Caenorhabditis elegans: one gene and its partners. The protein of the gene in region 3 purifies or fractionates together with the protein of the main gene of each other region. This does not show direct contact. Each region holds a gene or a part of one and is shown on either strand. Other genes may lie near its edges.

The links.
Region 1: the proteins of T10E9.6 (region 3) and dbd-18 fractionate together in Caenorhabditis elegans (co-fractionation; one large-scale study listed by BioGRID). This does not show direct contact.
Region 2: the proteins of T10E9.6 (region 3) and wrt-6 fractionate together in Caenorhabditis elegans (co-fractionation; one large-scale study listed by BioGRID). This does not show direct contact.

Annotation. Positions count from the first base shown.
Region 1 is NC_003284.9:290,860-302,091, forward strand, and holds dbd-18 (DB domain-containing protein), read left to right. Parts: upstream 1-6,374; 5' UTR 6,375-6,388; coding exon 6,389-6,473; intron 6,474-6,983; coding exon 6,984-7,132; intron 7,133-7,316; coding exon 7,317-7,469; intron 7,470-7,581; coding exon 7,582-7,710; intron 7,711-8,183; coding exon 8,184-8,318; 3' UTR 8,319-8,428; downstream 8,429-11,232. Other genes in the region: gcp-2.1 (Glutamate carboxypeptidase 2 homolog), read left to right, coding at 10,992-11,022.
Region 2 is NC_003284.9:3,476,278-3,488,536, forward strand, and holds wrt-6 (Warthog protein 6 N-product), read left to right. Parts: upstream 1-3,972; 5' UTR 3,973-3,976; coding exon 3,977-4,112; intron 4,113-4,158; coding exon 4,159-4,232; intron 4,233-5,250; coding exon 5,251-5,510; intron 5,511-5,563; coding exon 5,564-5,619; intron 5,620-5,675; coding exon 5,676-5,883; intron 5,884-5,934; coding exon 5,935-6,035; intron 6,036-6,095; coding exon 6,096-6,142; intron 6,143-6,209; coding exon 6,210-6,467; intron 6,468-6,518; coding exon 6,519-6,808; intron 6,809-6,854; coding exon 6,855-7,206; 3' UTR 7,207-7,389; downstream 7,390-12,259. UniProt on the Caenorhabditis elegans protein: Intercellular signal essential for a variety of patterning events during development.
Region 3 is NC_003279.8:6,525,155-6,535,245, reverse strand, and holds T10E9.6 (Receptor expression-enhancing protein), read left to right. Parts: upstream 1-5,146; 5' UTR 5,147-5,191; coding exon 5,192-5,311; intron 5,312-5,719; coding exon 5,720-6,028; 3' UTR 6,029-6,080; downstream 6,081-10,091. Other genes in the region: cpg-22 (DOMON domain-containing protein), read right to left, coding at 1,055-1,129; T10E9.14 (K Homology domain-containing protein), read left to right, coding at 2,279-2,567, 2,759-2,881, 2,923-3,059; nuo-2 (NADH dehydrogenase [ubiquinone] iron-sulfur protein 3, mitochondrial), read left to right, coding at 3,286-3,409, 3,459-3,628, 3,859-4,049, 4,685-5,006; T10E9.4 (uncharacterized protein), read right to left, coding at 6,608-6,995, 7,038-7,269, 7,388-7,885, 7,937-8,110, 8,402-8,638, 8,686-8,832, 8,876-9,022, 9,412-9,538.

The DNA of each region.
Region 1 (11,232 bases), on a different chromosome or scaffold from region 3:
TAAGTACCCACACGGCAAGGTTTAATTTTTGAAATTTGGTCGCGGATTTTCTCGGCCACCGTTGCATATTTCGCAATAATTTTTACGGGAACGTAATCTCCACGTCACCAGTTTTCATTTAAGTACCCACACGGCAAGGTTTAATTTTTGAAATTTGGTCGCGGATTTTCTGGGCCACCGTTGCATATTTCGCAATAATTTTTACGGGAACGTAATCTCCACGTCACCAGCTTTCATTTAAGTACCCACACGGCAAGGTTTAATTTTTGAAATTTGGTCGCGGATTTTCTGGGCCACCGTTGCATATTTCGCAATAATTTTTACGGGAACGTAATCTCCACGTCACCAGCTTTCATTTAAGTACCCACACGGCAAGGTTTAATTTTTGAAATTTGGTCGCGGATTTTCTCGGCCACCGTTGCATATTTCGCAATAATTTTTACGGGAACGTAATCTCCACGTCACCAGCTTTCATTTAAGTACCCACACGGCAAGGTTTAATTTTTGAAATTTGGTCGCGGATTTTCTCGGCCACCGTTGCATATTTCGCAATAATTTTTACGGGAACGTAATCTCCACGTCACCAGCTTTCATTTAAGTACCCACACGGCAAGGTTTAATTTTTGAAATTTGGTCGCGGATTTTCTGGGCCACCGTTGCATATTTCGCAATAATTTTTACGGGAACGTAATCTCCACGTCACCAGTTTTCATTTGAGTACCCACACGGCTTGGTTTAATTTTTAAAATTTGGTCGCGGATTTTCTCGGCCACCGTTGCATATTTCGCAATAATTTTTACGGGAACGTAATCTCCACGTCACCAGCTTTCATTTAAGTACCCACACGGCAAGGTTTAATTTTTGAAATTTGGTCGCGGATTTTCTCGGCCACCGTTGCATATTTCGCAATAATTTTTACGGGAACGTAATCTCCACGTCACCAGCTTTCATTTAAGTACCCACACGGCAAGGTTTAATTTTTGAAATTTGGTCGCGGATTTTCTGGGCCACCGTTGCATATTTCGCAATAATTTTTACGGGAACGTAATCTCCACGTCACCAGCTTTCATTTAAGTACCCACACGGCTAGGTTTAATTTTAGGCTTTTTTTCGGGTTTTTTGAAATGAATATCGTAGCTACAGAAACGGTAGTACACTCTTCTGAAAATACAAAAAATTTTCAATTTTTATAGCTAGGACACTTTTTGTCTGCCCAAATATAAGCAACCAAAAATAATTTCCAAGTTTTTGATGATTTGTTGCATATTGAAAAAAACATTTTTCGGGTTTTTTGAAATGAGTATCATAGCTACAGAAACGGTAGTACACTCTTCTGAAAATACAAAAAATTTGCAATTTTTATAGCTAGGACACTTTTTGTCTGCCCAAATTTAAGCAACCAAAAATAATTTCCAAGTTTTTGATGATTTGTTGCATATTGAAAAAAACATTTTTCGGGTTTTTTGAAATGAATATCGTAGCTACAGAAACGGTAGTACACTCTTCTTCTGAAAATACAAAAAATTTGCAATTTTTATAGCTAGGACACTTTTTGTCTGCCCAAATATAAGCAACCAAAAATAATTTCCAAGTTTTTGATGATTTGTTGCATATTGAAAAAAACATTTTTCGGGTTTTTTGAAATGAATATCGTAGCTACAGAAACGGTAGTACACTCTTCTGAAATACAAAAAATTTGCAATTTTTATAGCTAGGACACTTTTTGTCTGCCCAAATATAAGCAACCAAAAATAATTTCCAAGTTTTTGATGATTTGTTGCATATTGAAAAAAACATTTTTCGGGTTTTTTGAAATGAATATCGTAGCTACAGAAACGGTAGTACACTCTTCTTCTGAAAATACAAAAAATTTGCAATTTTTATAGCTAGGACACTTTTTGTCTGCCCAAATATAAGCAACCAAAAATAATTTCCAAGTTTTTGATGATTTGTTGCATATTGAAAAAAACATTTTTCGGGTTTTTTGAAATGAATATCGTAGCTACAGAAACGGTAGTACACTCTTCTGAAAATACAAAAAATTTGCAATTTTTATAGCTAGGACACTTTTTGTCTGCCCAAATATAAGCAACCAAAAATAATTTCCAAGTTTTTGATGATTTGTTGCATATTGAAAAAAACATTTTTCGGGTTTTTTGAAATGAGTATCGTAGCTACAGAAACGGTAGTACACTCTTCTTCTGAAAATACAAAAAATTTGCAATTTTTATAGCTAGGACACTTTTTGTCTGCCCAAATTTAAGCAACCAAAAATAATTTCCAAGTTTTTGATGATTTGTTGCATATTGAAAAAAACATTTTTCGGGTTTTTTGAAATGAATATCGTAGCTACAGAAACGGTAGTACACTCTTCTGAAAATACAAAAAATTTGCAATTTTTATAGCTAGGACACTTTTTGTCTGCCCAAATTTAAGCAACCAAAAATAATTTCCAAGTTTTTGATGATTTGTTGCATATTGAAAAAAACATTTTTCGGGTTTTTTGAAATGAATATCGTAGCTACAGAAACGGTAGTACACTCTTCTGAAAATACAAAAAATTTGCAATTTTTTTAGCTAGGACACTTTTTGTCTGCCCAAATATAAGCAACCAAAAATAATTTCCAAGTTTTTGATGATTTGTTGCATATTGAAAAAAACATTTTTCGGGTTTTTTGAAATGAGTATCGTAGCTACAGAAACGGTAGTACACTCTTCTGAAAATACAAAAAATTTGCAATTTTTATAGCTAGGACACTTTTTGTCTGCCCAAATTTAAGCAACCAAAAATAATTTCCAAATTTTTGATGATTTGTTGCATATTGAAAAAAACATTTTTCGGGTTTTTTGAAATGAATATCGTAGCTACAGAAACGGTAGTACACTCTTCTGAAAATACAAAAAATTTGCAATTTTTATAGCTAGGACACTTTTTGTCTGCCCAAATTTAAGCAACCAAAAATAATTTCCAAGTTTTTGATGATTTGTTGCATATTGAAAAAAACATTTTTCGGGTTTTTTGAAATGAGTATCGTAGCTACAGAAACGGTAGTACACTCTTCTGAAAATACAAAAAATTTGCAATTTTTATAGCTAGGACACTTTTTGTCTGCCCAAATATAAGCAACCAAAAATAATTTCCAAGTTTTTGATGATTTGTTGCATATTGAAAAAAACATTTTTCGGGTTTTTTGAAATGAATATCGTAGCTACAGAAACGGTAGTACACTCTTCTTCTGAAAATACAAAAAATTTGCAATTTTTATAGCTAGGACACTTTTTGTCTGCCCAAATATAAGCAACCAAAAATAATTTCCAAGTTTTTGATGATTTGTTGCATATTGAAAAAAACATTTTTCGGGTTTTTTGAAATGAATATCGTAGCTACAGAAACGGTAGTACACTCTTCTTAAAATACAAAAAATTTGCAATTTTTATAGCTAGGACACTTTTTGTCTGCCCAAATATAAGCAACCAAAAATAATTTCCAAGTTTTTGATGATTTGTTGCATATTGAAAAAAACATTTTTCGGGTTTTTTGAAATGAATATCGTAGCTACAGAAACGGTAGTACACTCTTCTGAAAATACAAAAAATTTGCAATTTTTATAGCTAGGACACTTTTTGTCTGCCCAAATATAAGCAACCAAAAATAATTTCCAAGTTTTTGATGATTTGTTGCATATTGAAAAAAACATTTTTCGGGTTTTTTGAAATGAATATCGTAGCTACAGAAACGGTAGTACACTCTTCTTCTGAAAATACAAAAAATTTGCAATTTTTATAGCTAGGACACTTTTTGTCTGCCCAAATATAAGCAACCAAAAATAATTTCCAAGTTTTTGATGATTTGTTGCATATTGAAAAAAACATTTTTCGGGTTTTTTGAAATGAATATCGTAGCTACAGAAACGGTAGTACACTCTTCTGAAAATACAAAAAAGTTGCAAATTTTATAGCTAGGACACTTTTTGTCTGCCCAAATATAAGCAACCAAAAATAATTTCCAAGTTTTTGATGATTTGTTGCATATTGAAAAAAACATTTTTCGGGTTTTTTGAAATGAATATCGTAGCTACAGAAACGGTAGTACACTCTTCTTCTGAAAATACAAAAAATTTGCAATTTTTATAGCTAGGACACTTTTTGTCTGCCCAAATATAAGCAACCAAAAATAATTTCCAAGTTTTTGATGATTTGTTGCATATTGAAAAAAACATTTTTCGGGTTTTTTGAAATGAATATCGTAGCTACAGAAACGGTAGTACACTCTTCTTCTGAAAATACAAAAAATTTGCAATTTTTATAGCTAGGACACTTTTTGTCTGCCCAAATATAAGCAACCAAAAATAATTTCCAAGTTTTTAATGATTTGTTGCATATTGAAAAAAACATTTTTCGGGTTTTTTGAAATGAATATCGTAGCTACAGAAACGGATACAGAAACGAAACGAAAACCATATCAATTCCCCCAAAAATCCAAAAATTTTTTTTGCAAAAAAGTGCAGTCATATGCTTGTTGAAATTGGAATTCAAGACAAAAACCCCTGTAGCGCGGCTGGGATGGAATATCTAGGTTCCAGAAATGTACCCCTGATATTAAAAAAAATTAGCAATTTTTTACCATATCAATTCCCCAAAAAATCCAAATTTTTTTTTTGCAAAAAAGTGCAGTCATATGCCTGTTGAAATTGGAATTCAAAAATTAGGTCCTCGGTGACTGCGACAAAAATGTTTGTTTGTTTTTTCTGGGCGTGTTTTTTTTCCTTTTTTTTTTGGGATGAAAAAATTCGCAAAAAATTTTCCTCCCGTACAATCGACAATTCATTCAAACCAATTAGTTTTGAACTCTCCTGTGAATGCTACAAAAAACTATATTTATTCTTCATTTGGCTTCTCACTAGTTCTCGCGATTCTCTTTGATCGAGAAATGTAATTTGTTGCTTGGAACAGAAAAGTGGAAAAGGGTAATACATGGCCTCTTTTCCTGTGTCTTTTTCCGCCGATTTCGTGAACATTAATTTACCCGCAACCGTTTGATGCGCCGTTTGCCCTAATTTTCCGTTTCTTGACTGTTACTCAATGAACAGATTGAATTCTCTCTCTCTCTCTCTTTCTTTTTTCACTTCTTAATTATTGTTTGCTATCCAACACCTACTTTTGTTTTTGTATTTGATGTTCTTTATTCTTGTTACTTTAAATTTGAAAAAAAAACGAATTTTTAAAAAATAGGGTTTGTCAATTTGTACAAGGAAACGGAATTTTTTCGTTCAAAGTTTCAAAACAAGACGTATGCCCATCAGATTATTTTGTTTAAACGAGCTTACGCAAAACACTTTTAGCTGTAAAGCTCCTACTTCAAAAATTTTAATTTCAACTTGAAAAAAGTTCAGCACATTTTCCCCAACTACCGAAATCTGAAAAATTGCGCCAAAAGTCGTTTCTTATACATTTGAAGTTTTCAGAACGTTTTAAATTGGCAAACATTCGGGAACTGTATTGATGGTGCTTATTATCCTCAAAGTTGGACTAGTGCCAGCGGGGAAATTGTTTTAAAACATGCCTATGGTACCCCAATGACCAAATATCATAGTAAAAAAAATTTTTTTTTAATTTTTGCTAAATTTTTATATGATTTTTTGAAAGTTGAAAAAATCTCGAATTGCATCAAATTCCCACTTGAATTGCCGCCAATAGTTCGATGTTCAATGGAGTGCGCTTGCCATATTTTTATCAATTTTTCTCATTTATGTCTGAATTTTAATTTTTTTTTTCGTGTAATTTTAGTGAAAATTTAGTGAAAAATTCAAGATAAATGTAAATTCTTTATCAAAAAGAGGACAGTGAAGCGTAAACCTGTGCAATTGATTGTTTCAGGCTCGACGTCGTTGGAATACGTTCTTTCTTTGTTTTTCAATTGTTTTCAATGCACAATATACATTTGTGTTGAATTTTTCACTAAATTTCTACTTAGATTACACGAAAAACATCAAAAATCTGTCAAAAATGAGAAAAATTTATTTAAAAAAATGTATATTTCAAGCACACTCCATCGAACATTGAACTATTGGCGGTAATTCAAATGGGAATTTGATGTAATTCGGGTTTTTTTCAACTTTCAAAAAATCATATAAAATTTAGACTAATTTTTTAAATTTTTTTTACTATGATATTTGGTCATTGTGTTACCATAGGCATGCCTTAAAGTAATTTTCCCACTGGCGCTACTCCACCTTTAAGCCCAGATTCTCTGAAAAATTAGAACATTTTTTGACTAAATCATTTTGAATGGTCAAAAGATGTAAATTTCAAACATTTTTTATAACCTATTTTCAAGATTATTTTTCAATTGACACAACTTGTAAATCTTGCAGCTCTTGGTATCAGAATGCGTCTTCTATCGTCTTCATTGCTTGTCTTGTTTCTTACTCAGTTTGTATCGTCCGAAAAAAAATGTCCGGCTGTGAAAAAAGGTAACCTGAACGAAGTAAACGTTTAGGTATAAAATTGATTGCGCAAAAATCTCTTAAAATCAATTGTTGTAAAAACAAAATCATGAAAATTGACTAGTGAGTTTTTATCGCTTTTTGACTTGAAATAAAACATTTTCAAAAATCGTTTGAAACGTTTTATTAGTCATTTTAGCAACATTGAAATAGGTTTTGAAAATGTACCAAATGTCGTGCTTAACCTTTACAATAACTCAAAATTAAGGCCCGTTCACTCAAGTTCCCATAATATATCTGGAATGGAAAAAAATACAACATTTCTTAGTGAGTCTACAACAGGGCTAGCAAATTGGACGAATTGGGTATAAAACGCGTCCCGTTGTCCGGTTTTAACCCGATTCGCCATATTCTACACATATATATATATATATATATATATATATATATATATATATATATATATATATATATATATATATATATATCAGCTTTGCTCTATGTTAATACATGCGTACAAAAAACATTGGTTTTCAGGGGCTTGCTGCACAGCACCTATCACCCCAGGATGTCGACTTCCCCGACAATGTTATAAATACATAATGTCAAACTGTCCAGACAGAAAAATTGCAGTTTTTTCCAGAAAAGTTGGAAATGATCGCCGCTCTGCTCCGAGAAAACCGTTGGTCAGTTTTATTTTGTACTGATATAATTGTTTGAGCCCAAGCTAATTATCTTAAGCTCGAGCATTTGGGCTCGAGCTCTAGCATCTCGGCAGCAGCATTTGGGCTCCTAATATTTCAGCTCTGAGGTTAAAAAAATACATGATTTCCATTAGTACTGTTCCAAAACAATTGTTTGATAATTAAGGGCAAATGTGGAACATCGGAGGTAAACTATCAACCATGCACTTCCAAGGGAATTGCGAACAAACTCTTTTTGTCGTGCTGTCAATTGTATGTTCCAGAAGAATGCCATCACATGTGTGTGTACGAAACTGATCAGTCGGTTACTAGAAATATGGTAAGTGTCCAAAGTAAATTCAAAATAGTAAGTTGCCTAACGTTATAAATGACAATAAAACAATTGTGTTGTGAGTACCTCTTTTATATTTCCAAAAACAAACTTTTTGCAGCTGACCAACATGCGGAAAGATAGCCAGTGCCGAATTAAACACCTGTCGTCAATTTTGTACTGTGCCAGCCAGAACAGAGATAATAGGAAATGCTGCTTGGATTTAGATCTCAATGCCCCTCAACTTCAGGTATATAAATAACTTGGAAGATTTTTTTGGAAAGAGTTTTCTATGGTGTGTAATTAATTGGTTATATCTCAAAAACCGGTAAAATATACATGTAAGGTTGTATATGCGCTTCTCAAAACACTGTTTTGCCTCACTGGTTCAGGTTATTAAGAAAACTGCTCCTATGAAAACTTCTCAGTCTCAAGTTACAGATGTTCCAAAAAGAATTGACAAAAATGAGCTCGCAAGGTGTCGGGCGTTGTATCTCTTGACTTTAATGTTTTGAAACGTTGAAACATGTGTGTTAAGATGTAGATCACATATTGGGCAACAGTTAATCAGTTCAACTTTTCTTTCAAAATTTCCTAACTTGAGGTATACTCATTTGAAAACTATGGCAAATTAGCGCGGCGCGGAACCCAGATAGTGTTGGCTGCGTGGGGCGCCGTATCATGGAAACCCGTTTATGTCAACTAATGATAATAAAAACTTAGGTTGGATCTCGTTGCTTGCGAATGTGTGATCCATCGGGTACTTCAATCGATAGAATAACCAAGGAAGATGTGACTTGCCTGTATAATTGGAATGTTATTATGTACTGTCATCATGCCGGAATACGCGAAATGTAACTCAACCACTTCATTTATTTATCTTTTTTAAGTTCACCCTTCAGCATACCAAAGGTTACATTTTTGCAGCAGTGCACTTATAATGTTGATAATAATAAAATATTAATTGGAATATGATGTTTGTTATCTTATCAGGCAATAGTCGACATTGATAAAAATTGGAAGATTGCTTTCAAATTGATTTTTTTTTCCAATTATTTTACTTTTTGAAACATTTCATTTTACAATTCTATTGTTCCTTGAGAAAAAAACGTCATAAGTTTTGATTTTTTGCAATGCGTTCAGTTATTTTCTGAACGAAACGTATTTCATTTGAAAGGACTTCTTCTCAATAGTCCACTACAAATAATTTTTATGCATATTCAGGTCAAATGTTTATTTTATGAAGTTTCATAGACATGGAGACATTTTTATATCTTTCAAGACAGCCTTTCAAAAAATTAGTGAAATTGTTTAATCAAGTCCATTAAAAATGTTAAATAAGTAAAATGTTTGTCGAATTTTTTGAATGTTTTTTTTGAGTTACTGGAGAATGAATCAAATGATTTAAAGTGGTCGTTTTTTACAGTAAAAAAGTATTATATTTTGAATGACTAATGTATTTATTTGATAATATAATTTCTTTCAGTAAGATACTTTATGTGTCCTATGCCTTTCCACTTCTAAAGCCAGAAGTGAACTGATTGGAAATTTTTTTTTAAGTTTCAATTTTGTACCCAACCGTAGAGTTCGTATATACGAGCATTCTCATTAATTTGCCAGTGTTTCAAAACAAAAATTCCAAGAAAAAAAAACTCTATAATTGCCTCATTTCTTCTGTTAGTCTGGCTGCTTGAATTTTGAATTATAAATGTTGACTCAGGACTTATTGCCAGCCCTAATTAAAAAGAGTATTTTTTCTATTAGCATGGTATTTGTATTGCACACATTTTTTACACAATTCCTATGAGATTGAAGTTATTAAGCCTTTTTGTTACAATTAAAATAAAATTGTCGAACTTCCATATAAAGTTTAAGTCTTTTCAAGTAAAAAAATAGTAAGTCCAAACACAGAAAAATGTTCTGAAAATTCCCTAATAACGGAATGACCTTTGAAAATTAGTATTGTAGCCATACTAACAAAAGAAATACGGCAATAATATCATTATAAAATATTGTAGTATAGCTATAACGCAAATACCAAACCTTCATCAGTGTGTGTAATAGAAAGAACAAGTGTCCTACTCAAACATACCAATAAACATACAACAATAAGGTGGGCCCAGGGAGCGCACGTATCATATCCTCTTTTTCTACACATACACCAGATGATGGAGCATCATCAGACAACTGACTTCAATTCGATGACACTCTGGATTATATGTATCAAGAGGGGGAAACAATTGAGGGGAGGGGGCAGATGAAAGAATCGTCGCTTGTGATTCTCAATTCAATTTTCATTTTTCTGTGTCTGTTTACAATATTAGTAGAGAAAAGCATTTGATATATGAACTAATGTTTTGGGGTTTGTATCATAGTTTTTTAATCACAAAACTGAAAACTTTATTTTTATATATTGTTCATGCAAAAATGTTAGCATTTCCGGTTCATGATGTTTTCTATCAATTTTTGTTGTGATTACATTTGCAAAATTATTTATTTAATCTTAAAGGTGGAGTAGTGCCAGTGGGAATTTTGTCTAAATACACTTATTTTGATCAAAAACGATCGAATACCATAATATAACGTTCCAAAAATTTTTTTTAGTGTTTTCATAATTTCTGGGCGAAGTTTTGGCAAATTGCCATAATTTTGAAAAATAAGAGCTTTTGAGGAAATCCAAAGAAATTACGCTTATTCCGAGCCCTATGTACAATGTTTCAATACAAATAATTAAAACAAAATTGCACTATAAAAAATAAAGGAAAATTTTTTTTTTGGTCGACTTTCAAAATGAGTGGCAAAAACGAAGTAATTGTCACTTTTTGACAGTTGATAAAAAATGTTCAAAAACCTTTTGAAAAGTTTTATTGTGATCTTTGGTCATTTTGGGACCAAATGAGTGGTTTATAACAATTTCCCCACTTGCGCTACTCCACCTTTAAAACACCAAAAAGTGTTAGGCTGTTCTATATAATTTGTGCCCAAAAAATATGACATCAGCATGTTCTTAACAATGAAAAATCTGTTGAGAACTCTGAGTCTCTTCTCCTGCATTTTTTCAATAGATCTACGTAGATCAAACCGAAATTTTTTTCGTGCATTTTTTTCAGTCTTAGAAGGGATAGTTTACTTGGCCTAAGAATACAAAAAATCCACAATTTTGTTTCTATAATCGAAGAAGTATTGTTTTAAAATGCATGTATGTGATACAAATGAATTAAATTTTAAACAAAATTGAAAAATTACTGTTTTGAAACCTGCAAATCTTATCTGGCCTAAATCAATGTTGACAGTCCGTTTACAATGAGTTTCATTTTTGTTGCTCAGATATCAAATACACAATTACACGTAAACTTTTGAAAAGTGTATTCATAGTTTCAAAGTTTTCGTTTTTTCTTCGTCCAGTCATTTCTTACAGTAATTTTTGATTAAGTTCTTAACTGTAACTGTAATTAATTCAACTCCACTTTTAAATAATCTCGCAACATTTGTTTGAAATGTTGTTGTTCCAGAACAATAGTTTATATGTAAATGCCGTACGTCGGAGTTGGAGCACAAACAGGTAATTGTGTCATTTTTTGTTTGTGTGCATTTTTGACTATGGTTTGAGGTGACCCTAACAGCTGTTCAGTTGTTCTTTTTGCAAGGCATTTATTTCAAAGCCAGCATCTCCCTTTTCATGATACTTTTTCTTTTAAAAATTTTGAATCACACAAATTTTTTTTAATGGGGTAGCGCCAGTTTTTCTTCCTTTTTCCAATAAAAATACACA
Region 2 (12,259 bases), on a different chromosome or scaffold from region 3:
GAATGATGGAATTGGAATTTTTATTGGTGTCGTTTTAGATAGATCGATCCAAAAGATTACTACAGTCCCTTTTCTTGATGTGAGAAAAAGTATCTCTCGGTCGTCGTCTTTCCGTCAAAACTTTGAACACTCCCGACACCAATCAAATTCGATTCCGGTATATTCCTAACAAGGTGACGACGGAAAGCAGAAGCCGAGGCCAATTGAATGAAACATTCCACGTGACGGTTCCCTTTTATAATTGGACTCATTTGGAGAGCGGAAAACGGAAAACGGAAAATTTTCCAAGAATCAACACAGGATTGCCGAGAAAAACATCATTGACTAGTCAAAAACGGTGGACAATAAAATTGATGCCAGTTGTTTGTTGAGATTCTCGACACCAAAAACTAATAAAACGGCGCTTTATGGAGCTATTATTATCATATGATCTGAAGATGATTAAGCAAATCGTATTCATTCGATCAGGTACAAACATACCCGTTTGTTTCTTGTTTCTATCTAAAGTCTTGAAATCCGGATAAATTTTATTTTATATGCCGATGTTCCTCATTTTTTTTGCGTATGTTTTTTCTCGATTTATTGGGCTAGTGTTAAAGAATTTAGAAATTAAAAATATTCTTCTTTTCAAAATCCTAGAAACCTTCTTGAAAAATGAGGCAGAAACTAAGACGATCAAATACATCTCTTGTTGTTTCCAGTTGATTATTCGATTCTCTAATCAGCGTTTCTGCTTAGAAATTTCGTTTGATTCCATGATTGAATGAAGGAGAAGAGACATCAATTCAATGTTTCATACATCAAATATATCTTCAAAATTTCTTAAGCAAGAAAAATTGAGATGCATATCTGAATGAAAATTTTCTACATACATGTGTATGTACGTACATTCAGATGAAAAATCTGATATTGGCTATGTTAAATTTATATTATTTTTAGCATTCATTAAACAATATCAGAATTAATTATAATTTGGATTGAAAGTGATGAATATAAATTTTGGATTGACAATCTCGGCGAACGAAAAGATCGAAAGATTATCGTGTAGGTAGAATAAAAACCAGAATATCGTTCTTTTGTTCGTAGTCTGGTGATTAATGCCGTATCAGGAACTTTTGATCTCGATAAACTACTAGGACTGACCATTTGATCTGAATCAATTGTTATTCAAAAATCGAGATTGTCAGTTCTAAGAATTTCATATCCAATTCTGCTCCGGAGACTTTAGGTCGAAATTTTCAATTTCTTGAGGTAGATCTTGCTATTTGAAATTGTCATTGACAGTATACAATAATCTGAAAAGTTGAAACTCCGTTATATTCCAATTCTCTCATGACACCTGCACTAATCAGCGCGCATCTTTCCATTTTGCATCCTTGACGGAAAACAGTTCCGTTTGTCTTTTTCTACATTGCTTTTTCACATTCGGAGGTGCTAAGAAACGATTAGCAATGAAAGCGAAATGTATACACAGTAATTACGATAAAACTAATCCGACTGTCCGATTCTATGTGGCTACCTTAATTTTACTGCAAAGTCGAAATGTCAAAACATCGTTTTTTAAATACAAATTTCTTGTGATAGGGGTTTAATCTTGAAAGAATACTGTATACATAAACTGAGGGATGAGCATCAAACCAACCGTTCAGATCAAAAAGCATCTGTAATGGGTGATAAGCGTTCGGAGATTTTAAAAATTCTCTGATAAGAAGACATAAAAGTGTAGTGGGAAGACTTCCGCCAATCAAGTCTTCTAAGCCGATACATCTTGGTCGATAATTTCTGATCGCGATAAAAAAGATAGCAGCAACAGTGCTTCAAATCACCGCAAATTTACAAAGCCGTCCAAATCATTTGATGACGTTATCACACGGCGAGGGAGAACGAAAGATCATGTTCTGCATGAAGTTGGACCCAAAGCTTGTTCTTTGTCTTGTCGTGTTATTGAAGTTTTTTTGGCACTCCGATCGTTCTGGCAAATTTTTTCTGCAGTTCGAACTGGATCAGACAAGGAATCTCTGATACACTGTCGTAAATTTTGTACTGTGAAAACTGCAATTTATTGCTTAATTGGATTTAGCACAGAACTTTGGTACTGTCCAAAAAAAAATGCAGCTAGTTTCTTTAAACTGATATGTCAAGCATATTTGGGCACAGACAAACATCATAATCTTCGTAATGAATGTGTATTTCCACCATGCATTTTAAATATATTTTGAAGTAAATGCCATAAAAATGTATCTTTAAAGGGCTGAAACTTTATTTGCCGTAATTGTGTTTTAGACAATGTTAAAACTAAATAAATCAATTAATTTTCATCTATATTCCAATTAAGAAAGGTACTTTTAGTACTAGAGTTGGTTTTTCCAAAGCCTTGAATTAGAAAACATATTCCACACATTTGTATCTTTTTTAAATTAGCAAATTATTTTAAAAATGTGGGCATCAAGTACCAATATATATCTATTTGCCTATTTATTAAAAATCTAAAATTTTAAGTCATAAAAAATAAAAACGTCTGGAGTTTTTTGTATTCCCAGGTTTAAGAAATAATCATCACTTAGCTTAATGAAGTAAAATGCATATCATGTTTAAAGGAAATAAACAAATTGGCAAATGAATAAAATTTTAATTTGTTTCAAAATTGTGTGTGCCGTTCTAACATTTGTGTAAAGTTGGTTGAAGTTGAGGATAAAGTGCGCACTTAAAATTACTGAAAGTTAGCTAGGTTAAGATTGCTAAATTTTTTATTATTAAAAATAGCTAAAATTAAAAAAAAAAAAAAAAAAAAAAAAAAAGTTGCTAAATTAGGTTGGAAAGTTGCCAGAATTCGCGGAAAAGTTCGTGCATTTTAATTAACCACATTTCTTGTTTTAAATAGTTTACAAACCTGAGGAAAACTTCAAAAACTAATGCAACACTATTTTACGCTATTAGTGTTCTTTATTACTTCCTGTTGACACCTTAAGTTTCTTTTTATTTTACAGATATCAACTATAAAAAAATGATTCACAAATGATTTGTCTGGTGATATGAGCTGCCAAACAAAGAAATTAAAATTTTTAGCAATTTCAACTGTTGTAAAAACTTTGAATCACAAAAATCTTCCAAAAGGTACACAAAAGCGTATTGATATTTTTGCATTGTTCATTTATGTCTTGTAGAAAATATACACAGTTTTCAATATCTTGACCTACTCAACAAGGTACTTGACCAAGTCCGATTTGATTCAGTTTTTCGACAACCCTGATCTTGTTCTCCTTTTCCTTCAATCCCCCGCACATCGCCTACAATCGCAGTCACTTCAAATACAAAAATGATTTCGTTCTCGCTGTATATCCTCCATACCTTGTATCCACTCATCACGATGCTTCTTCAAAATTGACCGCAACTAAAGTATACACATACATAGAGAAATTATTTCGGACTTTGCGATTCCCAATGGAGAGGTGCAGATTCGCCCTCCCCTCCCCCCTCCTGAAGAAATCTTGGCGGGACGAAGAAGTGGGCGGGCGGATGCGGGAAGACAAGGCAATCTTCTGGACTAATTCATAAAAACGCGCTGAAATTAGTGGAAACCGGGAAAACGAGGAGGTGGGAGGTGCTTGTATCTTCCCAACGTATAAAAGTGACCAGAGCTGTAGTTTTGCCATGTTGGATGTTTTGGCAATTTTTCCACCTTGCATATCCCGACCTCATTCGCCCAGCCTCCTTTTCCTGCCCTCCGCTGGGTTTAACACCGTAATCCAACAATTACACGGTGTCGTCGGATTTCTTCATTCAACTCTATTCATTGTCTTTTTCTTTTTCTTCTTCTTGTTCCAAACTATCCAGTTCTCTTCGTTTCACTTTTTTTGAAAATTGTCTTCCAAATTTTATTGCTCAAGCTAAAAATATTCTGACTTTTAAAATCCTTGTATTATTAACGTTCCAATAAGAACAAAAATATATATATGTATGCTGTTCTGTTTCCAGAATGACATTACTCAACTTGTTTTATTGTTTCTGCCTACTATTTGGAGCAGTTTTGGCGGATTCCATTCATGATGGTGGATCTTGTGGTACGAATTCAATTCCTTACAAAATGGAAGTAGACAGCGAAGGAAAACCAGGTATTTACTAATTTTCCAGAGCATCTCAAAAAATTATCCATTTCAGTTATATCATGTGAAGCGCCATCCTGCCTTGGAGTTTCAAGCTCTGCAGCAAGACGCCCAAGAGTTTTGGATGTGGTGAGAGATACTTGAAAGACCTAGGCGCCTAGCAGTAAAATTATTAAGAAATCGATTATTTAGAGAAACTCTTTCGGGGACATAATCCTTGGACTGTAAGTGGCTCTATAATTTTGTGCGATTAAGAAAAATAGAGCGGCCATTAAAAAAAAGTCAATTTCGTAGAAATTAACAGATGGAAAAGCTAAACCATTCAAAAAAAAATTCAATAAGGACGCAATTCTAATTTAAAAAAAACTATAATCTAAACTAAAATTGGAAAACTATGGTTTTTGCTTTCTGAACATTTCAAACCCAATTTAAAAAATCTATTTGAAGTAACGCCGAACTCATTACAAAAATAGAAGCCTTGAAGAAATCGCAGAGAAAAAAGCTAAAACATATGAAGAATATTAAAATTATTCTGTAAGAAGAAACATTTTGAAAACGTAGTTAGAGCTAATACTTTCATAGAAGAGAAAACATAGACAACTGTTTCAGAAAAAAAACATCGAAATTTCAGTTTTTTTGGGTCTCAATACATTGATGAATTGCATCCTACAAAATTTTTTGCAAAGCTTCTTGCTATTGGTTCAATATCTTATCCATACCGTACCTATATATTTGTCACCATCTCCGATTTTTCTCACATCATCGCTTTATCTTAGATCAGTGCGCCCGTTGATTATACATCCCGAATGTGTCTTGTTTGAATGTAAGGATGTTTCTTTCACCCATTAAGCTTTACGATCTTTGAGACTTATCCAATTAAAGTGGCTAACTGAATCTTCGCCCGATTCGTCTCGGCCGAAGCCTATTCATCTTTTTTGATGTTCCTATTTTAATTGTGACGACGTCAAGCGTACCAAACAAGCTACGTATGCAAGCCAATTAATTGCGATGCGAGATTAGAAGTACATGAAACACTATGACCGGAATCGTTCCTCCGGATGAGTCGTCGTTGACCGAAAAAACTTTTGGCGGGCGTAGTATAATAAAACTTGATTGAATGATGTATAGCATTGGAATATTTTTCCAGAGTTGCGACCCTTTCAAGGAGATTGTCTGCGTCAAAGACCTGCAATGGACTTCTGGGCTTGTGGAAATCAATAACGGAACACATAGAACATTGAAAACCGAGTGTTGTTCGTACGAAGGAATGTCTGATGCGAAAACAATCAAGAGCATCTTCCTTGGACCAGGACAATCGTTTGTAGGAGGAATGGTGGAAAAGGATGGAGAGCAATCAGGATTCGATCTTATCAAGGAGATTAGGAAGACTGTCAACGCAGATAATCAGTAAGAGAAATTTAAATGATCGGGTATTTTTGGAACAAAGTTTCTTATTTCAGAGTTCAATATATTGTTGGTGTCTACCGCATGCCTTGTGAAGCCACCTCCGATTCAAGTAAATTTTTTGAAATTTTGAAATATTTTTGCAATTTTAAGCTTCACTGTTTTCAGGCGAGGAAGCTCTTCCATTGCTTTCAAGAAACAGAAGAAAGCTTCGTGATAGAGTTGGAAAATACGATGATTATGAGGAAGACAGAAACTATCGCTCTGAGAGAAGACGTCCGTTTGCAATGAGAAGACGTGCCCTCCTTCAAAGACTCGAAGATATGTATGATGATTACGATTACGAATTCCGAGTTGTGAGACGACCATTCAGAAAGTAAATTTTATCCGGCATTTTTATTTAAGCCGAAAAATTTTCCAATTTAAGAAGCCGCCTTCCATACAACGAGAATGCTCTTTGGCCACTGCAATACTCCTCGCCACAACGTTCCCGCACATTTGCCGACAACACGTACAACAAAGAAACAGGTTTGTTAACGACAATGCAAGACGGAACTGCCGCTCTTTCTAACTATGGTGATTCTTCAGTAGAATCCGGGCCGCTTCCTCCACCACCGAGCTCCAACTACATTGACGTGAGTTTAGACTAACCCATACATCTAATGTCAACTAATTCTACTAGTACTAACTTTCTAGTCGCAGAATGTTGCCCCAGCTTCGCCTGTCGTTCAATCGCCAGCCTACCCACAGACTCCAGCAGAAATGCCTCTGCCACCTCAATCAGGTTCATATTCTGGATCGTATAGTGGTTATCCAACTGCTGATGCAAGTCAATACAATGCGTACCCTGCAATGCAGCAACCAGCATATCAACCGGCCTACCAACCGGCCTATCAACCAGCCTACCAGCCAGCCTACCAACCAGCATATCAACCAGCATACAGTGCAAGAGGATACTCGGTATTTTAATTAACAATTTTAATTCATTTTAAAAATAACGTCATTCTTCAGCCGAATTTGAATGGGCTGTTCGGTGGAACTGGCATGCAGTGTTTTTCCGGAGATATGGAGGTAGAGACAGAAGACGGAATCAAGATGATCAAGGATCTCAAGATTGGCGACAAGGTTCTCAGCATGGACGAGGCTTTTGTGACGTATTCGCCCGTTATCATGTTTTTACACAAACGGGATGAAGAGATCGCGGAATTCAATCTCATAGAAACAGCCAATGGTCACTCAATTAAACTGACCGATAATCATTTGATCTACGTGTCTGACTGCCGTACTAGATCCGACTTAAAGTAAGAAATTAATGATTTAACAACAAGTAAACTAATAATTATCCAGATTGGTCGCCGCGAAAGAAGTCAAAATGGATGATTGCATTCACGTCACCACAGACAGCAATGTCGTCATCAAGAAAAAGGTATCCAAAATCAGCAAGGTCATCGAAACTGGAATCTACTCTCCACTTACTTCCACCGGAGATATTATTGTCAACCGAGTTCTGGCTTCTTGTCATTCCAACTTGGCGTTGAAGTCACTTCAACAAACTTTCTTCTCACTCTACAAACGTACTTCAAGTGTTTTCCATAATTTGATGTTCTTCAAATCCTCCACAGAAGAGGGAGATCTTCCAGTTGGAGTCGAAACTTTAACAAGTGTCATGGACTTGTTTATTCCTCAATCATTTGTATGATTACTAATCAGTTAATATGTATAAGTTTATAATAATTGTACGTTGTTTAATAATGTTTTTCTTGCTTATGCTTTTTATGCAATGATGTTAAAATATGCGGTTGAATTGTGCATTTGGTTGCAGCTGCTTTCTTTCACTGTCGCCTTGCCATGTTGTAAAATAAACATAACTTATTGAGTACAAACACTTTATGTTTCCTTATTTTGCTTTCCATTTTCAGAGCCTACAAAAAATAAGGTACCGTACTTCCTCTATTAGTCTTGCACCACTACGGGTTAATCGAAAATTTTTCTTGTCTTGCAGCTTCTAATAGTCTTGCATCAATCTTTTTGCTGTAAGCAATACTTTATTTAAACTTCAGAAAACTTGTCATTTTTTGGACAAATGAAACTTAAAAGTGTTCAAATTGATGATGAAATATTGAAGAAGTATGTACATATTTTTCCTTGTTTAAACTATATCTAGTTAAGTTTTCAAGAAAAATTGGTAACTGGTAACAATTGGTAAGAATTGGTAACAATTATTGAGCTTTCAAAAATTAGTCTTACAGTCGTAAAAAAACATACGATACATGTTCAAAGATGATATCTCGTGTGTCTTTTTGGGAAGCATTAAAAGGATTGTCGAACTAGACACTTAAATATTTTTGAAATATTATGTGAAATTCATTAAAGTAGTAATTATAAATTAAACGTATAGTTGCGCCAGTGAGGACTTTGTTAAAAATCATGTATAGGGTGCCAAAATGGCCAAAGGTTATAGTAAACCTTTTTTATAAAACTTTTACTGGCAGTCAAATGAGCTTCTGCAAATTTTTGTGAATGCTATAGCACTGTCGCATGTTTGAATTCCCACAATGTTAGAATATTACTACTTGAAAAATCAATAGATCATAACATTCGGAAAAGACTTCTTTTTTGAACGGCGACTTCCAGAAAGTTGCAAAACTTGAGATTTGTCTATTAAAACAAATCATAGGTGTGAAGTTTGTTTCCTATTTTTAATATGGTGCCATAGGAATGTTTTAAATCCAAATTTATCAACTAACTTTTTTTCATCTTCAATTTCTGGATTGCTACGCGGACCAGGGAGCAAAAAATTACAGAAGTTAGTACTTTTTGGTATAAACGACTATACTGAATAATTTTTGGAAGAAAAAAGTGGAGCTTCCTATTAATTTCCCGGGTTTTTGAAATTTGGGAAAAATAGCTTTTGATCAATTATACGTGCACTGACCGAAAAATAATAAAACGTGCTTTGACCATAGAAAAATAAACCATTTGCACTGACCAAAAAAAAAATAAAAATTGCACTGACAAAGAAAAAGAAAACAAGTGCACTGACCAAAAAAATGAACCATTTGCACTGACGAAAAAAGATGAAGCGTGTACTGACAAAAAATAAAACAAGTGCACTGACCAAAGAAAAAAACACGTGCACTGACCAAAGAAAAAACACGTGCATTGATCATTGAAAACATTTGCACTGACCAAAAAAATGAACCATTTGCACTGACGAAAAAAGATGAAGCGTGCACTGACAAAAAATAAAACAAGTGCACTGACCAACGAAAAAACACGTGCATTGATTATTGAAAACATTTGCACTGACCAAAAAAATATGAAGCATGCTCTGGCAAAGAAAAAGAAAACAAGTGCACTGACCATAGCAAAAAACACGTGCACTGACCAATGAAAAAAACACGGGCATTGGGATCATTGAAAAATAAAACATTTGCACTGACCAAAAAATGATGAAGCGTGCACTGACAAAAAAAAATAAAACTTGCACTGACCAAAGAAAAATAAAAAATTTTCATTGACCAAAAAAGATGAAGCGTGCACTGGCAAAGAAAAAGAAAACAAGTGCGCCCTGACCATAGAAAAATAAAACATTTTCACTGATTAAAAAAAAGATGAAACGCGCACTGACCAAAAAAAAATTAAATGTGCACTGACCAAAGAAAAATAAAACATGTGTACTGACCATAGAAAAATAAAACATTTGCACTGACCAAAAAAAAAGAAACTTGCACTGACAAAGAAAAAGAAAACACGTGCACTGACCATAGAAAAATAAAACATTTGCACTGACCAAAAAAAGATGAAACGCGCACTGACCACAAAAATTAAATGCGCACTGACCAAAGAAAAATGAAACATGTGCACTGACCATAGAAAAATAAAACATTTGCACTGACCAAAAAAAACGCGCACAGACCACAAAAAATTAAATGCGCACTGACCAAAGAAAAATAAAACATGTGCACTGACCATAGAAAAATAAAACATTTGCACTGACCAAAAAAAACGCGCACAGACCACAATAAAATTAAATGTGCACTGACCAAAGGAAGATTCAGTTTAACTGGACTTTTTCAGATTCCGTATCCGTGGGGATAATTTCTTTTTTATTCTAGAACTTTTTTCTAGAATTATTCTGATATAACCGAATAAATGTGTCATGACAAGTTTATAAAATGTGTGAATTTAGATGAAGACTTTTTATAAAATTAACAATTCCTGAGAAATTATCAAAACATTTTTAAAAAATGTCTTTTTTTCTATAATCTTGGTGTTTGCGAAACACATGGTACTTTGAAAGTGCGTATTGCCAACCGAAGTTATTCGAAACAATTGTTTCATGTAAAATCCACGTTTTCGTAACATGTACACGATATATGTAATTCGAGTCGGTTTTCAGTGTTTGAAAAGAACTGACCGAGTGTTACAAAACATGTCTTCTCGTTTTTGTGTCAGACGACATAGAGAATGAGATATATATTCAGGACACCCCATATCATTTACCTTTGCCGCGACCCTGTTTTAGTGCAAACTCTCTTTTTCCTCTCTTTCTTGCTCTTTCTTGCTTGTCTTTAATGTTGACCTTTTGTCATTTGGTCCCAATTTTGATCTTTTTGAAAAAAGATGAATGAATCCAGACATTTTTCTTTGCGATTTGATTTTTTGTTTTGTTTTTCGATTAGGTTTCTCCTGGAAAAAACATATCAGAAGGTCCCATTGATAACATTGTGACGTATTATGTTTTGCAATTTTTTTCTTCGAAATAAACATCGGATACTTTGGGTTTTGTTCCTCCCAAATAGTTTTTGATAATTTAGGCTGAACTAAAATCAATTTTCAAAAATTGAAAGATACATAAAATCAATTGATGTCAGCAAATATTTTTTTAGAGTTATAATTCCTTTTTTTCTTTTCCACCCAAAACACCTTGTACCATTTGTCAACCTTTAAAACATTTTTCGAGAGTTATATTTTATCACTAAGAAGATAATTCCTAAGAAGCTTATGGCAGTGCTCAAAAGGTCAAGAAGACGCTCATTGTCGGTGGCCATTAGTTCAGAAATAGCATTCATTCTTTAAAAAATTATTCAAATTTATTTTTATCCTAAAAATATTCTAAAAGAGAAAAATATTCTACAAAAAAAATTCAATTCTGTAAAAATATTTTGTGCACGCAATTAATTAAATTTTTTATAAAATATTCTACGAAAACTAGTTCATGTTGTAAATTTTTCTTCAAATTGTTTGTAATTAGTACTAGACGAAAATATTTATTTTAAGTATTAAAAAAATGCTCGGAAGGTTAAAAGTGCATTAACATTTTGAAAAACCTAAAAGTGTTTTTAATCTGACATTTCATTCTGCAATGTTTGATTTGTAGATAATCTTTATTTTAAAATTGATCACCCTTCTTAGAACCTTTAACAAAGATAGACAAGTTTTCATTTTAATTTCAAAATTTTCAAATTTTCAAAAAATTATTCAAGGTGAAAAACGTTTAAAATGCCAAAATGGTCAAATATCATGTCAAACTTTTCAAAATGTGTTTTTTGAAAATTCTTTATTGACAGTCAAAAACTGGCTATCACTGAGTAAGTACCACTTTTTGAAACAAAATAAAATGTGTTTTTTAACAATTACTGAAAAGTTTTACTGTAACCATAACTAAACTATAAAACTATCAACAAAAAAAAAATTTCCATTCTTTTAAAAGTATTACTATGATATTTGGTTCCTTTGGCATTAAAGAAGTGGTTTTTGACAACCTCCCCACTCCACTTTCAAACTTTTAGAAAGTTTTCAACGAAACCTTTTTAAAACACTCTAGTCATTCCAAAAAGTTACAAATAACAGCAACACAATAAGTGATTGATGTGACGATACCTTCTCTGATCTTTCTTCAATCGCCATACAATATATGTGAGCGAGCCACAAGAGAGTTGTTACATCTCACTCGTTTCCACCCATCCCTCACTTTCGAAATGACATCAGAGCAGAACACGGGCTCTTGTACGTGTATCAAGTCGACACGACGAAATTGAGAAGGTTCCGGATTCCTGGGAAATGACTAGCATATACATGAGAATCGTCCACTCCTCGTCGTCTCATTTTTCCAGTTTCATTTTTTGTAGAGTTTTGCAAAAAAAAATGGTATTCCTAGTGTCTCACGCTTCATGTTTGCATTTTGATGGGTTTAACTTTCTATTGTGGCAGTTCCTTCAAAGGATTAGTTTCTGGAAAGTAACAAAGGGATTAGTAGCAGTAATATTATACACGCATTAGAACTTTGAACAAAAAACAACGTTTTTCTTTTTTGGTTTCGAGATTCAAGATTAAATAGAAAATAATTTAAAACAGTTACAGCAGACGAATAAGCACTAGGTGGTAGCATTAATCATCAGAAATGCCAATGTGTCATGGCACCACATACAAACTCGACGATATATCCAAGTTGTCAGAACACGTCAGCTGACATTCGGGTTCGTAGCGAAAAGAGACCTTCTAGTGTGCGGAGTGGCAGAGAGCGTCTATGGGCCATTTTCACGGCCGATTTGCAGGTGTCAACCGCAGATTTATCAAAATCTGAATGTTGTTTCTGAGGTCTTCCTTACAAATTTCTATCCGGATTTCACATTTGGTTCCAATTTTCTCTCTTAACAAGTGTTTCTGTTTGAAGTAGTCGCGTTTAACGATTCTATTTTAAAGAGCACATAAATCAGACTGCAAATGCGTCGGGAAACAATTGCCAC
Region 3 (10,091 bases):
ACTAGTTTTTTCTCTCTTTGTATAATGGGCACATGTAGTAATAAAAATCATAAACCCGATTAGTTTTTCGCGCAATTCGTATACGTTTTTGTTTCATAGAGACGAGATTTTAAAAAAAGAGACATAGTCTGAAAATTTGCAAAAAAACGGAAATTTTTTGATCCGATATTTGGCATATTTGTAAAAATTATGAATAATCCCATGGAGGGTATATTTACAACATACCGTATTCACAGTAATACAACACACTAAAGGTTGGATTCTTGTGAAGCTATTTCCGTAAAATTCGAACTAGTGGTGAATTCGATCATCTTATTGTTATTAATAAAAGTAATTTAGCAGTAGAATAGAAAAAATTATTCCAAATTTGAGAAATTAGTTTCAGCGAAAAAATGAATTGTAGACAAGTCGAAAAAGTAATTTTCCTCTAGTTTAGCCTTTGAAATTTGATAATAATTTAGACCTCAATTTATTCGAAAATTTGTCAATAATACCAAATTTAACAAGTACTTTGGCATTTTACAGTTTTTCTTCATGGCAAAATAGAAGAAGCGCATTGTAGGCACTTTGGCAGGCATTATAATGCCTTCTTCGAACTACAAATGTTTCCAGTAAACTTTCTGAAATATACTGAAGTTAATCAGAAAATGATAAACTGATTTATATTAGGACTAATCTTAGGTGGATCTAATGATTATCTAAAAATTATAAACCAGATAATACTGAAAAAATTCAAATTTACATTATTGTCAATTTATTTATGCATATGTGTATATTCATCAATGTAGAAAAATAAGAATAGCTTTTTTAATATTGCACGAGTTTTCTACAGGAAATACACTTTAGAAAATGTTTGAGACGTCAAAATTTCAAAACCACAGTTTCTAGAGTTCAATTAAAGTACGCTGACTACTAGTGGCAAAGGTGAAAATAGTTATAGCTCGAAAATATTTTCGAGAGCTATGGTCGAAAATTTCATGTTTTATGAGGATCTATCTCCCGGTTACATGACAAGAAATACAATTTTTATGAAGTAAATTTAGAAAATTCTTACAGTATTCTGAGTAATACTTCTCTGATGCGTTGTTGTAACCTCCAGAAATAGTAGAATAATTGGCACAAGAAGCATGGTTGTCTTCTCGATTGAAAGGACACAACCTCTGGGTGCCAAACTGTTTGCCAAAACCTTTCTTTTTCCTCCGATAGACTCCGCCTACTCAACTTTTTTATGTCTATAATGCTGCGTCTCTAGTGACACTTGTTTTTTGTCCTTTCGCGCATCTATGGCCTTAAAGATGTTTTTTTCCTGGGAGAAGAGAATTGACTGGAGGTGTTTCAAGGGATATCTTGATATCTAAGAGGTGAATTACAGCTGAGTCCGTTTTTTTTATATAGTGTTACAAACAGATTGAGGATGTTTTTTTTTGATGATGACGGAAAGAAGGTAGATGTGTAAAGTTAGACAGAAAAAAGAAAACATTACAGCAGTTTCTAACATAAGATTACATAATTTTATGATGATCAACTTATTTTAATAACTAAATATGTTTCAAATTTCCGAGTTCGAATACTTTAGCTTGGTCTTTTTTTTTGGAAATAGACATGTTCAAAATTGTGTTTTTTGCGGTACACTGTTCATCCGAAATTGACGAAGCTGGTTGCCTAAAATCCTAAATAATGCCGAAAAAATTCCATAAAATATTGTTGCTGAAGAACGCAGTTTGCGATTTATGTGTTTTATTACTCAGACACAAATTTTTGCTATTCTTGCGCCAAAAAAATCTCGACACGACACATTTTTGTTAAATGCAAACTGGTGTGCGCCTTTAAAGAGTACTGTAACTTTAAACTCTCGTTGCTGCCACTTTCGTCGATTTTAAAATATTTTTCTAAAACATTTTCTCACCATTTCCTAAAAATAAACAAACTACAGAAATTAGATGATATCCCGCTGAAAGTTCGAAATTACAATTAATCCGCAAGTTTGCATTTCACAAATATGGGTCATGTCGAGACCGGGTACCGTATTTTTGGAGCAAAAATCGCAACATTTCGCATCTGGGTAATATATTCTTCAATACCCATTTTTCTGCCATCTATTAGAAGGTGTTGAGTCTCCAATTATAAAATTTCGAATTGCCTCGTTTCTAAGAAGTTCAGTCCGCAAACACCGCTGCGTGCCTTGTTGCATACCGTATCAACAATTTTTTTTTTGAAATTGTCGTGCCATTCGAATTTTATTCAGCTTCTCGGTATTTCTAATTATAGAAAGGAAAAAATGGACAGCGAAATTTTAAATTATCCAATCCATCGATTCCTCGACTCGTCACTTCTCGGTCAGTTCATTGGGCCCGAAGGAAGCAACATCTACAAAATTGAAAAATATAACAAAGTTGCATTGGATATTTGGAAGAATGACGAAGAAAATTCAAATGTTCGTATTACTGGTCCGTATTGGAATCTGAAATCTGCTCTGAATGATGTGCTGGAACTGGTCTCGACTATCAGAAATAAAAATCAACGTTATAAATTCGAAATGCCGTCCAAAGACATTGGATTCCTCATTGGTGAGTGTTAGTAAAAAGAAAGTAAAAAGCAGGAAGAGGTACAAACCCAAGAACAGGTTACTGAATGGTGAAATATGTTTTTCGCACTTCATTATGCACACATGTCTTTGTTCTTTTGTTTTCCTTCGCAGTAACTGGCCCTTTTAGCAGGTCAGAAAGAAGTTCTTAATTATTGCTTTCATTTTTTCCAGGCAAGAACGGCGCCAAAATCAACGAAATTAAACTGAGTTCTAATGTTGATGTTCATTTCGAGCGAAACAACGAGAATAGAGATAATGGAGAAACAGATGGAAGAGTTGTTGTATCAGTCACAGGTTGAATATTTGATTAAATTAGTTGATTTCATATTTTGCAGTTTCAGGAAACTATCAACAAATTCTCATCGGATTGCGCTTAATCTACGATAGATTAACTTCGAAAGGACAAAAAACTCTATATGAAGATCCTCGCACACGCCAATTCGCTGAATCTCTTATGGAATCCCTCGATTAATTATTTTTCTGTTTAATATTTTCATTTTTCTTACTTCTCTTGCAAGGGAAATGCGCTAGCAAATTATGTTGGCGCATTTCCCGAATACTTGCGCGTTTCATGTGCGGCCGGCCGATCAAACACATTTTCTCTGATTTTATTTTTTATTTTACCATTTTTTGCCTCAAATCGCATTTAAATTCAATAAAAACTTTAAAATAATAATATATGTCTTGTCTTGCAGAAAATGTTGGGTAGTGTGATCCGTCAGGCAGTTTCCCGGCAAATTGTCCGAAATTCGCCAATTTCCACCACCGCTGCTGTTGCCCAGACCAACCAGACTGGCGATAAGAAAGAATCTCCAAAAAAACGTAAAATTTTCAATTGCATTTTACACAAAATTTAACAAAAAATGTTCAGCAACTATCTGGAAAATCGACGAACACAAACGTGAACGGTTGGCTAATTTTGGAAAGTATGCAGCCGAGTGCCTGCCAAAGTTTGTGCAAAAAGTGCAATTTGCAGCCGGAGACGAGTTAGAGCTCTTGATTCATCCATCAGGAGTTGTTCCAGTTCTTTCCTTCCTTAAAGTAAGTATTAAATCTTTAATTATAATCACACACAAAAATTTGAAATAAAAGTAACACTTTGACTTTCAGCTGCAATAGTAGTACATAACCATTTTTTATCTGGAAACTATTGTCGGTTTTACAGTTTTTTTAAATTATACTTCGTTTTATTAAAATTGAGAAAAAATGCACAAAAACCGTTTTTTCTTGGTTTAATGCTTGATTTATCAACAAAAAATCTAAATTTCCAGGGAAATCATTCTGCTCAATTCACCAACTTAACCTTCATCACCGGAATGGATGTTCCAACTCGCAAGAATCGTCTTGAAGTTATTTATTCGCTTTACTCTGTTCGATTCAACGCCAGAGTTCGTGTTCGTACATACACTGATGAAATTGCTCCAATCGATTCTGCCACTCCAGTTTTCAAGGGTGCTGACTGGTAAGAACTTTTAATTAATTAAATGTAATTTAAGTTTTTGAAAGAATTAGTTTATTTTAACTATTGTAACAGAAGTGAAATTAATATCAAAGATGGATAATACCAAATCACAATTACTATGAAAAGATATAAAAAAAATTGAACAAACTATTTCAACCTGAAAAGTTCGATCTGAAATTATTCCAATGCATTTTTTGATTGCTCCCGGATCCGTTGTTTCTCCAAAGACGGTTTTGTAGACTTTTAAGAATTATAATCATTTAAAAGTAGACTTTCGAATTTCTGCAGATTTTTAAAAAATTTTGAAACAAACTTAAAGTTACCCACCCCGACAAAAAACATGTGAAATCATTAAAAGTCTGCAAAAAACAGCCAAAAAAATTTTCGTAATAATCTTGCATAAACATGATGTGTCGAATGAGACAGAACTCGTTTGAAAACCACTTTTTTCTTTTTATTGTAATAAACTGAAAAATATCCAAAAAATCAAGATTACTAACAGAAACTGATGAACATTTATGACTTAATTATTTTCTGACAAATTATAGTCGTTTCCTAAATTATGGCAACTTTCTCAAAAGATTTCACCTCTCAAATCGGCCAAGTCACCATATATTTATTCTAATTTTTTTCAGGTTTGAGCGTGAAGTGTACGATATGTATGGAGTATGGTTCAACAATCACCCAGATCTTCGAAGAATTCTCACTGATTACGGTTTCGAGGGTCACCCATTCCGCAAGGATTATCCACTTTCGGGATACAACGAGGTCCGCTACGATCCAGAGCTGAAGCGTGTCGTCTATGAACCATCTGAATTGGCTCAAGAATTCCGTAAATTCGATTTGAACACTCCATGGGAGACATTCCCAGCCTTCCGTAATCAGTCGATCACCAGTGGATACGAAACGATCCTTGAAGTTGCTGAGCCAACACCAGCTACTCCACAGAACAAGTAGATAAAATGATTCCGATTTTTGTTTTAATTTTACTTCTTCTTCTGATAAATAGACTCATTTTCTGTTAGTGTGGATTTTTTTGAAAATATAAACATTAAAATTTTACGTGAATCAATTACTATTTTCTCCCAATTAGTTTTATTATTGATTGTTCTATTCGTCGTCTCTTGGAAAATCATTCCAATATGAGCAAGTCAGAGCTGGAAGTTCAAGTTTGGTTCATCAATCTCATTCACAATGAGAAATATTTCACGGCGAGATGGGCCAAAAGATATAGTGAAGTCACTGGAATCGAAGTTGAATCGGTAATTATCCGGCGAATACAAAAATACAGTACTCGGTCTCGACACGAATAAAAAACAGTGCGCCTTTAAAGAGTACTGTATACTCAATGTTATATTCGATTTGTTTCCTGTCTGTGAATTTTCAATTTATTTGATTCAGTTAATTGAAGTTTACAAAGTAAAAGGGTCTCAGAAAGAGAAAAATCAATAACAACTCTCGAAACAGTTATGAGTACTGTATCTCAAAGGCGCACATCGTTTGGCGCCTTTCTCGATCGTGTCGAGACCGGCTACCGTATTCCTGCTTCAACATGTGTGATTTGTGACATTGTGTGTGTGACATGTGTGACATTTACCGGCAAGGCTTACACCATTGCGCACAGTAGTTTTTTTGTCAACTTAAAAAAAAAGATAAAATCTGAATTTCAGTTGATCAAAGGAACAATTCTCTTTCTTCTTGGATTGTTGCTTGTGCTCAAAGAGCCTCACTACTTGGCAAACGGACTACTCGTAATTGCTCCCATTATTTTGACATACTTGGGACCATCGGATAGACCTGAAACAGGAATAATGTTCATTTATTGGACAATTTTCGGATTTTTTTATCTTTTCGATCGAATCTTGGAGTATATTCCATTGTATTATATCATCAAACTTGCCGTATTCATTGGACTTTTCTTGCCACCATCTAACCCAACTATCGAATTGATTCATAAGAAAGTCTTCAATATTCAATAGAAATTAATGAGTGATTGATATTTTATGATATTATGTTATATTATGAGAAGATTTTTCCACTTTTCCTTTTGTTTAAAATACGTCATGACTTGTACATGGAGACCTATGACATTTGATAGCCCATATTTTGAAATGGCTTCAGCTGCCAAGCTCAGGGCGAAAATTATTACTGGGATAATTTAATTTTTGTGGCTGAAAATAGAACAGTTTTTATGAATGTGAATAGCTTTAACTTTAACAATCCATACCATTCCAGACACTGATTAAAAACATTTAAAAATCACAAATAGATTTTTTTTTGTTTGAAAAAAATGGAAGTTTTGGTTAATATAATTTTGCCTAATTAGTGTTAGGGATGAGTTTAGGAAATTCTTTTATACCATAGTTATCAATAAAGGAAATTTATGTATCAATTGTTTTTCTGATCATCAGAAATCGTCTACTCAAAAGGTAATCACAGTAATCGTACATTCGTACATGGCTTGTATTAACTGCTATTAAAACCAATTTCAAATATAAAAAGTGAAACATAAATACACAAGTTTATTCCCAAATGTTCGATGCATAAAAAGGAAATATCTAGTTCATCTGAGAGCTGGTGGCTCCTTCACCAGTAGTTCCGCTTGTCGAATCAGCCTCTGTCTTCTTGGTCTTTGACTTGGAGCTCTTTGACTTTGAAGTATCGTCTCCCTTCTTTCCACCTTTCTTTCCTTTCTTTCCATCACTGTCTTTTCCCTTTTTTCCTCCCTTCTTCTTTGGCTTGTACTTGTCAAACACAGACTTCGAACGGTAGCAGACGAAGCTCATGACTGCCAAAATGACAAAAATAAAACCGCAAATGAGGAAGCTAATGAGCACATAGAGCCATGGTTGACTGACATCACGGGCGATTTTCTTCAGCGGATGGTAGTAGCAGACGTGTTTATTGATATTAACATACACGCAAACAGTTCCCGACTTGCAGTCTCTGAAAATGTCCCATTAAACACCAAATAAACCTTAAACTCACTTGTTAGAAGAGCATGCCGATCCCTTCACCTCAGTACGTTCTTCTCCAGTTAAGTGCCTTTTGCCCAAAATACCAACGCGATTAGTGTCAGGATCGCAAAATGCATAGGTGCTGAATTGAGATGGGATAGGTTTGTTAGCATCACACGGATAATTAGTCAAGTATGGATATGGGCCCAAGGTAGGCGTCGCTGACTCAGTACCATTTCCAGATGGTGCAATTGTCAGGGTAACTGAAAAATTTCAAATCGTCCTAAAAAAATCCGCTACACTAGAAAAGAAAAGTGAAACCTGGGGAATCTAAAACTCTTCTCCTTTTTATCGAATAAAAATCTTAATTTGAATGCTTACGTGATGGGCAGCAATGACCAAAGCGACAGACTCCGCCCTTCGTCTTGCACACTCCAGAACTTTCCTTTCCTTCAACAACATCTACACACTTTGGCTCATTATACAATGGTGTTGCATAGTCCAAACAAGTTCCGTGCTTGTCTTTCGTGACAGTGGATCCTATATCTTTACAGCATACATTCACTTTTTCGTCACACCACAATTCCAATCTCTTCTTATCCGACTTCAGATCTCCAGCGCAATCCTCGTACTTTTTGCACTGCATGAGGTTAGCAACTGGAGATTGAGTTTCTGCTGTTCCATGTTTGCATTTTGGTTTCTTTTTGAAGCAGCATACTTTATTGTTTGGATCAGAATACGATCGGCAATGATGACTGTACTCAGTTTGATTGGCGGATACTCCGGCATTCTGACAGTGCATGTCCTCTTTGCAAAACTGTGAATTGACTGGAAGAACTGCATGTGTCTTTTCATCATCAGCCTCGCTGCAAACATCAACTGAAAAGAAAACAAATTGTTAGAGTTCTAAGAACATCAGATATCTCGTACCGTGAACGCATATTCCTGGAACGGCTATTTTTTCCGGCTGCGTAACATTGGCATACACAGTGATATTGTCTATGTGACAAATTTCAGTCTCATTGCCACAGTCTTCGTTGTAATGGCACAGCTTCAGCCCCAAATCAACCTTAACATGCTTCAAATCTGGCTTGAGGTCTGGTTCTGAAATAACATTTTAATTTAAGACAAGTCTTGCACTCCTATTTACTCTGATAATCAGTTTTTTGGTTTTATCAAAAGTCAGTTAACGAAATTTTTGTTTTTGAAAGCAAAGACCCAAATGAGCTGTAATCAAATCAATAATTCTGTAATTTTCGGTAAAACAATCAGATAATGATTTGAAACTTTCTGGGGTAAAAACGGAAGCATCGTAAGATAAATTTAAAGCTTCAGATATAAAGAAAAGAGATACGAATCAATTTGCTACTTTCGAAAAATATCTATTGAACCTACGTTTGTAACAGAATTGCAAGGATGATTCTTTTGGACCACTTCTATCCAAAAATCTATGATTCTTGAAAGTTGGGTTATAAACTGAATCACAGAAGTTTCCATCTCCACATTCACTGTTGGTAGTGCACGTTTTAACTTTATATGATTGGTTATTTGCTTTAGACTTCTCTAATCCTTCCTCTGCCCATGTCAGTGGAACAACATTGGAATTTTTCAGTGTGAAAGAGAATGGAATCGCTGAAACGGAATTTGCCTTAAACTTCGAAACAATGTGTTACACTTACGACAAGCAACATCTCCGGATAGTGGATAATCTCGTTTGTACCAACGCGGATCGTCCGCCTCTCCGGTATATTTGTACAAAAACCCGGTTTGTCCACCAGAATGGTATGAGAACAATCGAGTACTTGGGCAAAAATCACCTAGCCTACCTTAAACAAGAACATACAACTGAATATACAAAGTAATTCTCACCGCAACAAGCAGAAGTCGATACTCCGGAGTTTTTCATCATATCTCGGTAACAAATATTTTCAGCAGCACACAATTCCGTACCATCCGAAACTCCTTGTTTTCTGTTATTGCAACCATCATCGTTTATGTCGTCTCCAGACGGGCATTCTAAAAAAATGTAAGAAAGTTTTTTCGAGATCAACTAGTTTAAAGTTTTGTAATTACTGTCTTAAAAATGCTGAGAACAAATGAAAAGACTGAAAATAAACCAAATATCCTAAATGCTCATAAAAAATCTTAAATGCCTGATACAATGTTATAAAAACCGTAATAAAGTGCCTAAATTAATTCATCAAATTTGAACACATTCTGATTCCTACAGCACATTTCAAACTAATATTAGATACAAAACTAACGGAAAATTAAACAATTTTAAGATTTAAAGTAAAAAATCGCTGAGTATGTCAAAAATTCTTGGGTCTTGTAACGTTTGACATGTAATTTGATCAAATACTTTTAAGCACGATGAGAATAGCCAACTGCCTATTTTTACTCACTAAAGTTTGGACCTGTTGGCGCAGTTACTGGTGCTGTTTCCGTTGTTAGTTCGGCCGTAGAAGTAGAGTCTACTGCGGATGCGGAGACTATCAAGAAGATGAGAAGACACGTTAAACGAAACGTCATCTTGCACGTGGAAACTGGAAAAAAGTGTCATGACAGTGTGAATTTGGAATTCGAGTTTAGCTAAAGTGAAAATGAGCGTTGGCTACTGATAAGCTACTGATGTTCGGAAACCCGAAGCGTTTGGAACAAAGACAAGTCAGACAGGTCTGTTTGCGTTCAATGCGTCCTCCTATTACTAAATTTCCAGAAAAATAATAATATGAAGAAATAGTCAAGAAATATGTACCGCAAAACGCAACAAACTATATAACGCAGGCAGTTAGCAGGCAAGTGCGCCTGATCACAAGGTGACATACACAACTATTTTGGCAATGAGCAACTTGGCCACTTGCCAGAATTATGCCGATTTTCTAGGCATTTTCGGCAATTTGCAAAATTGACAAATATGCTATTCCGCTTTTAAGGTTGCAAATCTTGCAGCCTCAATTTCCGCTATCCTGGTTCTGGAAATCAGCCTCTCCAGCAATTGCCGATTTTCATAATTTACGGCAATCGGCAAATTGCTAAACGTTCGGTTGCCGCACAGCACTGCGTGGAATCCCTGCCGTAGTAG